Oryzias latipes: one gene and its partners. The protein of the gene in region 2 interacts with the protein of the main gene of each other region in a pairwise test. Links are inferred from orthologs where the notes say so. Each region holds a gene or a part of one and is shown on either strand. Other genes may lie near its edges. The genes, in order: rab4a, gripap1 and disc1.

Evidence for each region.
Region 1: the proteins of gripap1 (region 2) and rab4a interact in binary tests that used the Homo sapiens proteins (3 or more experiments, as listed by UniProt). The link is inferred for Oryzias latipes from reciprocal best matches to the Homo sapiens genes GRIPAP1 and RAB4A.
Region 3: the proteins of gripap1 (region 2) and disc1 interact in binary tests that used the Homo sapiens proteins (3 or more experiments, as listed by UniProt). The link is inferred for Oryzias latipes from reciprocal best matches to the Homo sapiens genes GRIPAP1 and DISC1.

What each region holds. Positions count from the first base shown.
Region 1 is NC_019861.2:24,497,786-24,501,903, reverse strand, and holds the start of rab4a (ras-related protein Rab-4A), read right to left. Parts: upstream 2,878-4,118; 5' UTR 2,744-2,877; coding exon 2,728-2,743; intron 2,117-2,727; coding exon 2,036-2,116; intron 1,188-2,035; coding exon 1,073-1,187; intron 886-1,072; coding exon 823-885; intron 744-822; coding exon 589-743; intron 423-588; coding exon 327-422; intron 111-326; coding exon 1-110. Other genes in the region: phf10 (PHD finger protein 10), read left to right, coding at 3,248-3,322. UniProt on the Homo sapiens protein: The small GTPases Rab are key regulators of intracellular membrane trafficking, from the formation of transport vesicles to their fusion with membranes.
Region 2 is NC_019865.2:32,147,648-32,151,298, reverse strand, and holds part of gripap1 (GRIP1-associated protein 1), read right to left. Parts: intron 3,546-3,651; coding exon 3,513-3,545; intron 3,450-3,512; coding exon 3,379-3,449; intron 736-3,378; coding exon 688-735; intron 617-687; coding exon 585-616; intron 1-584. UniProt on the Homo sapiens protein: Regulates the endosomal recycling back to the neuronal plasma membrane, possibly by connecting early and late recycling endosomal domains and promoting segregation of recycling endosomes from early endosomal membranes.
Region 3 is NC_019873.2:28,418,136-28,421,786, reverse strand, and holds part of disc1 (disrupted in schizophrenia 1 protein), read right to left. Parts: intron 2,467-3,651; coding exon 1,598-2,466; intron 553-1,597; coding exon 483-552; intron 1-482. UniProt on the Homo sapiens protein: Involved in the regulation of multiple aspects of embryonic and adult neurogenesis. Required for neural progenitor proliferation in the ventrical/subventrical zone during embryonic brain development and in the adult dentate gyrus of the hippocampus.

The DNA of each region.
Region 1 (4,118 bases), on a different chromosome or scaffold from region 2:
GCCACATTCCTGGGTGCCCTGCGGCTGAGCACGGCGAGGAGAACGAAGCTGGCGTAACGCAGCGTCCCCATATTGGATTCCTGACCCCATCCTCTCTGGATCTAGCTCTCCTAAGAGTAGAGAAATGGTGCTGATTAATAGAGATAAAGAGAAAACAACCTACAGAGGTTTCATCCCCACTACAGACTTTTGGACCAGCTGGTCCAACACTCCAGACTAGCTCACTGAAGCCCTGAGCTCCACCTGAGCTTGGACTATCCCATTAGGATAAGAAGGGATTTGGAAATTGTGTTTAACAAATGTGGGCAAAGATTAGAACTCCTCACCTGACTCTATTTTATTCAGGATTTTCCGGGCACACTGGACAAAGGCTTCTTCAACATTCTCTCCTGTGAGAGCGCTGGTCTCCAGGAACATTAACTCTGCCACAAACACAGAGTAAGGATGAGAGCAGCCGCTATGAAAACCGCTGATGATTATTCCACACTAATGGCCAGTCAGTGCTAAACAGTAAACCATTGAGTAATTACGTATAATGAAAGTTAACTGTATAGTTTTTAGCTAAGGATTATAAACTTAAGATCGAACCATTTTCCTGAGCGAAGCGTGACGCCTCCAGAAACGTGACCTCTCTGTCAGCATCTAGATCCTTTTTGTTCCCACACAGGATAATTACAATGTTTTGACTGGCCAGCATCCTAGCATCACTTAACCACGTGGTTAAGGCGTTGTAGGTTTCTCGACTGAAGCCACAAAAACAACAAAACAAATGGTTAAGCAGTCAAAGTATACATAATAAAAGAATAACGCACCTCGTCTTACCTGGTGATATCATAGACCAGCAAAGCTCCTGCTGCTCCTCTGTAGTAGCTCCTGGTGACGGACCTGACAAACATATACTGGTTAAAGGGAACATTGTTGACACTTAAGCAAATGCATACCAAATCCATTTAGTAATTATTGCCAATTTAAGACAGAAATGGAAAAAAAAAAGTTGTAGCTGTGCACCGCCGACATCTCTAAAAACGCAACATCCACAATGTAGAAGGAATTTTTAAAGATGTTTAGCTACCTGAAACGTTCTTGACCTGCAGTGTCCCAAATCTGAAGTTTGACCATTTTGTTCACCACACTAATAATCTTGGAGCCAAACTCCACTCCAATTGTGTGGTTGGACTCATCTTTGACTGGAAAATCATAAATATCACATGTAAGTCATATATTTTCAACACCTTAAAATGACCTACTGTTTACAAAAATAAAATGCCCTTTTTTAATCTGATAAAGATTGTGACTGCTTTGCTAAAATCTGTTTAAAAAATAAGAGTCAAACTAAAAATATTCATCAAGATTTGCTTAAAGTCCCACTCCGATCATCTTTTGAACTATTGTAAAAGCGTTTTCAGTAGTTTTTAAATAATGTTTATGCTGTTTTAGCCAAAATTGAAAAAAGCAAACAAACTCTTGTTGTGTTGGACATAGTATCTGCAGAGCGGCAGTAGGTTATTAAAAAATGAATCTTTGAGTTGTGGACGGGACTGGGACCTTTCCCATCTTCCTTTTGTTTACACTCCTCTAGCTTACAGCCCCTCACACCCCCTCAACATTAGTGGTGCAACAAAAATGGCGAGCAATATTAGAGCTATTCAGCTGTACAGTTTTAAGCTAGATGTTAGCTCACACGAGGAAAATGAAGACGTTCATGGATCTATTTGTTTACAAGTGGATGCATCGGATTGAAGCGGAGCAGGGAGCTTGTAGCTCGCCATAGTAGCTTCTATGTCACATCTACAAGCAACTGGTCCTGAATCACAGTGATTTGAATAAAGAAATACTCAGAGATGCAATTTTAGGCTTAATTTTTACATAAATGTCCATTATAATGAGAACAAAATGTCACAAAAATATGTTAAAAACACACAAATAACGACTGTCTTTGAGTGGGACCTTAAAGATATTTAAATAAAAGAGTCGGGCAATTACTGTGTCATTATTATAAAGCTTTTTCTAGTGATTACAACTGAAGCAAACTTACATCTCTTTTCTATGAACTGGTGCAGAAGGCAGGATTTGCCTGTTCCAGCATTTCCAATCACTAGGAATTTAAACAGAAAGTCTGCAGAGGGAACACAGTAGTAACATAGATAAAGCAAACAGGGTTTGAATATGCTGCCTTGTTATTAATAAACTCAACTATTCTTAATTTTTTTTTGATACAGTTGTTGACATGTACACATCTGATGTCTACACTATACAAATCAAGACAAATGTGTCGTAAACAGATCGAACAAAGCCTTATATATATATATTTATTCTTTACTCCCACTAAGATAATTATCATGTTTAATGTTGGTTCAATTGATTGAACAGTTGTAGCATAGTGTAATTTGAGCAATGCCTCACAAAACACAGAGATATCCTATCATCACTTGCGTTTGCAAAAGAAAAGCGGGAGTCTCTTGCTTTGTGTCCTAGTGCTTATCCCGGGAACAATAGCATCTCCTATAGTCACAGCTTCTTGCATTATAAAGCTTTACTAATACACCTGTACCCGGAAGGCAGATTTATTAACGCTGACATTTGAGTTTAAAGGCCAAAACCTTCCTACTCCTCAGTGGCTCGGTTAGCCTGCCAGCTAGCTATTTGTTTACGAAGGGACCTCATCATCCCTTTCCTGCCATCTGTGTGTGAGATTCTAACGGGTATAAAGCAAGACAGCCTCCTTACCGTAAGACTCCGACATCCTCGGTGTGTCAGCTAAGCTGCAAGGCAGAGAAAGGCGAAACTGTTATTTGTTTAGCTTGCTAAGTGATGGAAATAGTCCTGTTGGTGATTTCCTTGGATTCTATGATTTCCTCCTCCAACTTCCTGTACGGTGTGTGTGGGTTTTTTTTCTTCAAAATAAAAGCATTCTGAAATGACACTTATGCCACATAGTCCTCAAACTACCGCGTGGGGGTGATGTTTGGATATGTTCTTATGGTTTCAATTAATGAAAAATAAATTCTCGCCGTTCTAAGTAAATTTTAAAAACAGCCCATTTCGCTGAGAGTTTTATCTATATGTAAATTAATTGGTTTGCATGTTGTGTACAAATTCTCTCTTTTTAACATATTTTTTGGAGGATCTAGGAGGTGGCGCTCTGAATTTACACAAACGTCAACCGAGTCCGTGGTTGTCCAAAGAAGAAGAAACGTAGTTTCCCCCGCTAATCATTAGCCTAGCTGTGGGCATTATTTATCTTAAAATGGCTACATTATTCCCTATTATTAGACCACCAAGTGATAGCAGTCCCGCTACTCCTGGGGCGCACTCCATGAAGGTGATTTTTTTCTACTTTGATAAATATCCATTAGCTGTTGTTTACGGGGAAACATGACGATGTTTTGCTAACAGATAGCTAGCTAGCCAACGGACGTTTCCATTCACTAGGACAACTGTCAGCCACTTTTAGCAAAATCATTTGTTTTCAAATGTGCTCAAATTACTTCCTCTTGAAGTAATTTGCTCCTATTATTCGTGTATTTCTCTATTAGTTTGCAACGTTGAAAAAATATATAAATAAAAAAAAACTAGATTGTGTAGCCATTTAAATATAAAGTGTTGCTAATTTTTTCCCTGTGTAATCCTAGTCAAACTAGTTTTGCACATGTTCCCATTTTCACAATAATACGGAGCCCCTAAAGGGCCATTGATGAAAAAAAAAAAAACTTGAGGAAATTTTTTTTTTTTGAAGTAAAAAAAAATTCTTTGAGCTAAAAATTTTTTTTTTGAAGTAAATAGGAAAAAAAACTAACTGGTGCGCACCAGTTAGTTTCAGGTGCGCACCAGTTAGTATCAGGTGCGCACCAGTTAGTTTCAGGTGCGCACCAGTTAGTATCAGAAGATATCAGATAGTTGACCTGCTTGCTCATTGTGCACCAAGTAGCTACAGTTGTCTTGAGAATGGCTAAAGTTGAGGATATGGACCTTATAAACTTTCTGAAAACACGAAATATTACTGACAATGTCATAATGTCACCTGAAACTAATTGGTGCGCAGCTGAAACTAACTGGTGGGCACCTGATACTAACTGGTGCGCACCTGAAACTAACTGGTGGGCACCTGATACTAACTG
Region 2 (3,651 bases):
CACGTCTCCATGTCTGGGTTCATGATTTCATTCAGACTCTCCCGGTACGGTGAGCTTCCTCCTCCACTGCAGGAGCTGCATCTGAATGAAAGCTACTTTCAGCAGTTCTTCTGTCTCTCTGGGATCCAGTTTGACCATTTGCTGTCCCTCATTGGTCCCAGGAGGGTAGATATTAAATTAAATAACCTTTTTATTATCGTCTCCATGCTAGCAGAGAAACTCCACCCGCTGATCACATCATCATCATGTCAATGGTCTATGCAGAGTACCTTGTTGGTTGACGCTCAGATACTTGTACTCTGGAAACACTGTACAGCGAGCCTTCACTGCTGCTTGAGTGGAGGGTGTTTTTGTGTCAGCCCCAGAGCGTCAAGGCTTAAATCGCGCCACAGGACCTCTCATCTCGTCTGTGCATTGACTCAACATTGGAACCTCTGCCGTGCAAATGCCGTTCAGTACGAACACAGCTGAGGTATTTTAGAGAAGAGTTCACGTTTTCAGCTGAGGTTAGGACCAGGTGATTCCCATTATGATGTGCTGAACCTCAGACTGAAGGTGTTATGGTGAAGTAATGAACATCTCACCTCTCCTGCTTCTTCTTCAACTTGTCAGACAGCTGAAACACAGACAGACAGGTCAGGCTCGAGAAGCAAGAGTTGGTTGGTGGATTGTTAAGGTTCCCTTTACCTTCATCATCTCTTCCTGGAGTTTGGCGACTTCGGCCTGTTTGGACGCCTGTGAGAGGACATGAGAGCAGTTCAGACCACCTTCATCAGCTCAAGCGGTTGTTGTTTGGAGCTTTGTGCCAGTGCCTCACATGTCAGGCATCTGGGTGGGTAAAAGACAGAAGGCGCAGCGGGCCAAAGGTGTGAGGTGTCTGAACTGCAGACACTTGAAAGTGATGATTAATCCCCATGTGGTTATGCCACAAACCTAAGGCACCATAGACACCTCTGAAAGGGGAGTGAGGGTGCATGCTGGGAGTCTGACCCTGAGCCAACAGCGTGAGGTGATGAACATCCCCCATTGCCCATGGGTCAAGTGCCCTTGGACAAGACGGTGACCACGACATTGGTTAAAGGTCAGGCATGAACGGCAGCAGAGCCACTGTCGGTGTGTGGTTGTGTGTGTGCATGGGTGAATGGGACTGGGACTGGAAATCGCAATCAGATCTTTGATTTTAGTCTATAATATTGGACTCATTTGTATGTGAAGATCTGAACTTTGAGACTTTAAACAAGGGAGAAAAGGGGGGGGAAATCCCATTTGTCTGAGAAAAGTGTGTAGTGAGGAGTTTCACAGCATTAAAACATCTGTAACCCTACTTTATGACTTCACCTCTCACAGGTTATTTCACAAGTCAACCCCGGCAAAACACAAAGGCAGCGCTGTATAAACCATTTAAACAATCAATAGTGGGTTCAGCCATGAGGTTTCTGTGCTTCCACAGAAACCAGTGTTATGCTGACTCAGCCTCTCTGACAGAAAAATAAACCAATCTTTATCTGATCGTAGGACATGAGAGGAAACTAAAAACAGTTTGGATACAGGTTGGACCATCTGTTCAGTGGTTCTGGTTTCTTCAGTTCACACTTGAGGTTTCTGAGCTGAAACTTCTCCTGCATCTTTGCTTTAATATATTAGGATGGCCAGCATTTATGTGAATTATTTTATTGTTGTTAGGAAAGTACACCAGTACTGGTAGAAGCCCATCATCCGTTCTGCCTGAAAGGAACATTTCACAGATTCATAAGGCTCCTTTGACCATGAGGCCCGGATGTCTGGGTTTACACCCTTAAAGGGAGTGTCTGTTTCTGTCAATAGCTAAATGTTAGCTTAAAGATTCTTCTAATGGGATACTGGCATACAAAAAGGATTTTAGTACAATAAAACGTTTTTAATGTCACAGTAAGATGTCGGCTGCAGCCTTAGTGACAGGCCGGAGTCATGACAGTTTTTGAGCACGTCTGGAATTTGTTGACCGTTTAGTTGCAGGAATGTAACATCGATTGCTGAGACAATTCCTTGGAAAATTCAAGCACTAAGTTGAATGAAAACCTAATTTGGTTTATTTGCCTCCAAGCCTTCTTTGTGTATTGAATGGTCCCACTTAAATTTCTTCTCAGCTTCACACGCAGGTCATCTGTGTCCCACCACATCTTAACCGATGGTCACATGACAAGGAAAAAGTTTGTTTTATTGGGAAACTATAGACTGTAAAATGGAAAAACAAAGGAAGATGTGAAACAGGACGGTGCTAAAAAGTGGAAAAACAGAACCATGAATGCATCACTACAACAATAATACCACAGCATCCAATGGAGAACATGGAGCTGTTTTAAAGTCCCACTCTAAACATCTTTAAATCGTTCCCAATGGACTTCTAATTATGATGATGCTGTTTTTAGACCAAATCAAAAAAAGGGTGTGGTTTTCTAGGACATAGTTTCTGCAGGGCAGCAGGAGCTCATTAGAAATTCACCTCCAAGTTGTGGGCGTGACCGCTGGCATGGAACAACACCGCCCCCTCCCCCCTCGCTGTTACTGGTGGCTTTCCGTTTACGTGCTCTCCTGCTAGCTTACATCCCCTCACACTCCCACCCAAACATTACCGGTGCAAAAAAGGCAAAGCAATATGGTAGCTTTGCAGCTGCACAGTTCTGATCCAGATTCCAGCTCAGACCAGGAAAAACAAAGACGTTCAGGGATCTATTTGTCTGACGGTGGATGCATGAGAATGGGGCAGAGCAGGGAGTTGGGGCCATTGGCTGCATACAAGATCTGGACTGAGTGACCCCGCCCCCTGGCGATCCAAACAGGAAGTACCTGCTGGCTCCAAGAAGCCAAAATCCCATAGACTTCTATTGGTCAGAAGAACCATTCTTGATCTGATATTTTCTTATCATGTTTTTGCTCATCCTAATGTTTTTCATGATGCTTAATCAGATGTCTCAATAAAAGCATGTGGTGCCTGCTGGCCCCCACCTCCAACGTTCAAACCGTTTGAGATTCTACCGCTTTCAGTGGAAGGGGTGCAGACTTCCAACAAGCTCACTCATAGAAACACTGATTCTACGAGCTGGGGAAAAAAAAAAAAGAGTATTTTCTAAGTCATATAAAAGCTCTTTTACCAACTGAATTTTTTCATCTGCTTCTGATTCACAAAGATTTGAATAAAGAAATACCAGAAATGCAATTTTTAGTCTAATGTTCTTTATAAATGTTCTCCATCTTCAGACAAACACGTCAAAAACACCATTTTCATCAGAGTGGGTGAATGTATGAATGTCATCAACAGCCAGGATCAGTCAGCACAGCCCCATGTCATTTTCACCCTGGTGTGTGACTGTGTGAGAGTGTGTGTGTGTGTGTGTGTACCTCCAGACTGTGGATCTGCTCCTTCAGCAGCCTCTTCTCCTCCTGCTCGGTGTTCAGTGCCATCTCCAGTTCTGGTCCAAAGCAGTGAGTTATTGGACAGAGTGCAGCCGACCAGCCTAGCGCTGCCTGCTTACCTACACTCCTCTCTATGCTCTTCTCTGACAGGCCTAAAGAGGGCGCCGCACACAGCAGGGGCAGTCTGTTAGGCCAGACACACACTACAATGCTGCAGAACTGATCAGAGACCAGGCTTTTCACACAGATCTGCAGTCA
Region 3 (3,651 bases), on a different chromosome or scaffold from region 2:
CCATTTTATTGTAAACAAAAACCATTTAGAGACTGATGTTTGGCTGGAAGTGGATCATGACAGCGCTCCGGATCAAAGTGTTGCTCTGACCCAGTCACAGTCCTGACCTGACCCGGAGTGACACGTGGCCTCAGACGACCCGTTCAAACAAACGCCTGCAAGCCTCAGTGAGGTTGGTTCAAAAACCGTTTTTAGCTGCAGGTCTTTTATCATATGTAACATGTTTGGATTGTGCCATGTTGTTAAATAACGCAGTAGAGCCCAAAGATCACGAGTGTTAAACAGATGAATGTTTGAATCTTGACGGTCCTTTGACAGCTGGGATTTCTGTCATAATCGCTCTGCAAACACTTCCTTCCACTCCGACAACTTTAATGGGAAAATCTATAAACACACGCAATGGTGAAATAATGGCATGCAAGCAAAACGTTCCTCATAAAACGCTTGATTCAGAGGGTTAAAACGTTGTGTTTGGCGTTCACCTGCGTCGTAGTCGTCGTCCAGAACGGCTTTCTGCTGGAGCCTCTGCAGCTTCAACATCATGGACTCGATCTGAGGCGGAGAGAAGAGACGGAGACATCAGCCCACAGGACGCCGCCCACAGGGAACGGGACAAGTACAATGACCGTCATTCTGTCAGAAAGTTCTGCTGCTTTTGGAGATTTTAACTTATGAACATAACTTTATGCTCTGCTCCATTCTCTTTTTTTTTAAATCAAAAGTGTGATTTTTTTTTTAACTTTCTTCCAGTTTTTAACACAGATTTTGAAAATAACTTAAATGTGTTTAATTAATGACAAATGGTCCAAACCTTTAATTTTATAAACGTTTGTGTTTTATTTTGAAAGCCAGACCATGACCTTTGTTGCTCATCATTCCATTTCCTGTCGGGCTTAGCTTTGAACAAGATATTTAAGGTGGTTGTTTCTAAATGTTGTCATGACCTTCACATCCATCTGACCTGAGCCATCACGGACCGAAAGATTCAAAACTTTAACTATCTGCGTCCCACAGCCGTTCTGGACTGAAGGACCAGATTGTTTCTGCAATTTTTCCTATTTACTGCATCTTTGAAGAAAAGTTTTCGCTGAGCTGAACAAAACTATATGACATACGATACAAACATATCAGGAATGTGGGCGTGGCTAACAAAATACCTCTGTTGCCAAGGAAACCCAAAAATTTACTTTTAGCGATCCTTCTAAAATGCACATCGACCTGTTCCTCCCCCCCGGACGATCAAATAACTAAATGGTTGCTATGGAGATGAAACAAATAGAAAAGCCGCCATTTTTGAAAAAAAGTGCTTTTTTCTTCTTCTCACATGCAAGTTTGACTAGGCTGGCAGAGGCATGAAAGGAGAGGGAGGGGCTTGTAGCAGCCACTCAGCCAATGAGGGAGGGCTAAACCATACTACACCACTCGCGGCTTTAAATGTAATTGCTTTTTCTCTTTAGCGCACTTTAGCGCCATGATTTATTTGATTTAATGATCTGAAACAGTCTACAGAACATGAGTTCTCCCTCAGCAATGACAGCACTTTAAAGTGAATGTGTTTGAAGTCTCTGCCCCCCTCAAGAGGATCCGCTATGCCCACCTTTGTGTAGGCGCGGTTGTTTCGGAGGCAGGCCTGCAGCACGCCCTCGTACTTCTTCACCACGCCGTCCCAGCCCGACTCCAAGCCCGCTGTGGCGCTCTCGTAACCGGAGGTGAAAGAGGAGGCTGAGGCCGTGTCTGAATCCACCGACAGCGAGGAGGTGACCTCCACGTCCAGAGGACGGGGCTCGCAGTCCAGAAGGTGGGAGGTCTCCTCTTTACCGTAACACTGACTTTCCCGCCAGAGCCTCCCTCCTGACGGCAGGTCCTCCTTCTGTGCGTGGCCGGGTGAAGAGTGGACAGGAAGCGAGAGCTTTAAGAAGTTCTGCTGGGAGTCAGGTTTGGGTTGTGGTCCTTCGGGGGCTTTGGTAGGTGGTTCTGGTTCCTGTAGTGGTGCAGCTGAAGAACCGGTCCTCTGACTGGAGCTGAGCGATTGCTGAATGAAACTGAAACTGGACGTGAAAGAGTCTTCTGCTGAGGTCTGGGGAGCCGGCCTCAGCCTTAAGCTGAGCTCATCATGAGGCTCTGAGGTCAGACCCAGATGGTTGGATGTTGCTGGAGCAGGATGGATGTCTGCAGCCGGGCCGAGGACGCCCTCACTCCTCAAACCCGTTGGTTTATTAACCATTAAAGCAGGAGCTGGACTCAGTCTTTGAGCTGGAGGGCCATGGGTGACGGCGGTGCTGCATCCACAGTTTCCATTCCCAAAGCAGCCGCTTATCGCCTCTTCCTCCTCCTCCTCCTCCTCCTCCTCTTCCTCCTCGGTACCTGCAGAGCTCAGCAGCCTGGACTGCTCTCCTCTCATGTAGCCTGGCTTTCGGTGATGCCTCTTTCGCCCAGAGCTGCCAGCTGTCGCCAACGCTCTGCCACCTGTTGATACAGAGATTAGGCGTTAAGCTCCGCGACAGGAGGAAGATGAAGAGTGAGCTCACGGGCGGGAAACGCTGGATCTGCAATGAAAGGAGAGTTTAATAAAAGACAGTAAGAAAAAAGCATTTCAGTCAAGTAATAGCAAATTTCTTCAAGAAGCTGGAACAAACAAGCAGCCATCACCTCCCAACTCCTTGAGCGTCATCGGGAAGCTTCACGGGGGAAAAAATGTTGGTTTTAAAGTTTGTGTTAGCGTGGCGAGGTCACAAATTTGGCGTTCCCCTGTTGATCGCATATTTTTTACCGAAATATTCTAAAGATTTTAGACAAATGGTCATTGGCTAAAGCTGAACGAAACAATATTTAATACCTTACGAATATATGAGGAATGTGGGCGTGGTTAACCAAAAACTTCAGTTGCCAAGGAAATCCGAAAAAGTACTTTTGCTGATACTTCAAAAAATATTACACAGACCTGTTTGTCAACCCTAGGCGACCAAAAACGTAAATGGTTGCTACGGAGATAAAACTAACAGATAAGCCGCCATTTTGAAAGAAAACGCGAATTTGTCCCATGCAGCTCTGACCAGGGTGGTGGAGGCAAAAGGGGGAGATTGAGGGGCGTACAGCAACCGTTCAGCCAGTGAGGGTGGGTCAAAGGGGGTAATAGGGGGCGGCGGGGGCAGGTAACAGGCAAACAACATCACTCCCACCTTTAATATTTTGTTTACACCTTCTTTTTCTTCCGGTGGAAACATTTTGACCTATTGATAAATTCTAATTTTACCCCACAAATCTCCTTACATATTTTTTTCAGAATGTCAGTCGGCATTGTTCTATTTAGTCTACAGTCATGGACACAAATTTTAGTTTTCTCAGAGTTAATAGAATTCCAAGCACTTCATACATTTCAAAGGCTTTTATGGACAATTCCATGACATTTATGCAAAGAGTCAGTATTTGCAGTCTTGGCCCTTCTTTTCAGGACCTCTGTACTCCCACTGGGCATGCTGTCAATCAACTTCTGGCCCAAATCCTGACTGATAGCAGCCCGTTCTTTCAGAATCACTTCTTGGAGTCGGTCAGAATTAGTGGCTTTCTGTTCGTCCACCCGCCTCTTGAGGATTGACCACAAGTTCTCAACGGGATTACGATCTGGGGAGATTCCAGGCCATGGACCCAAAA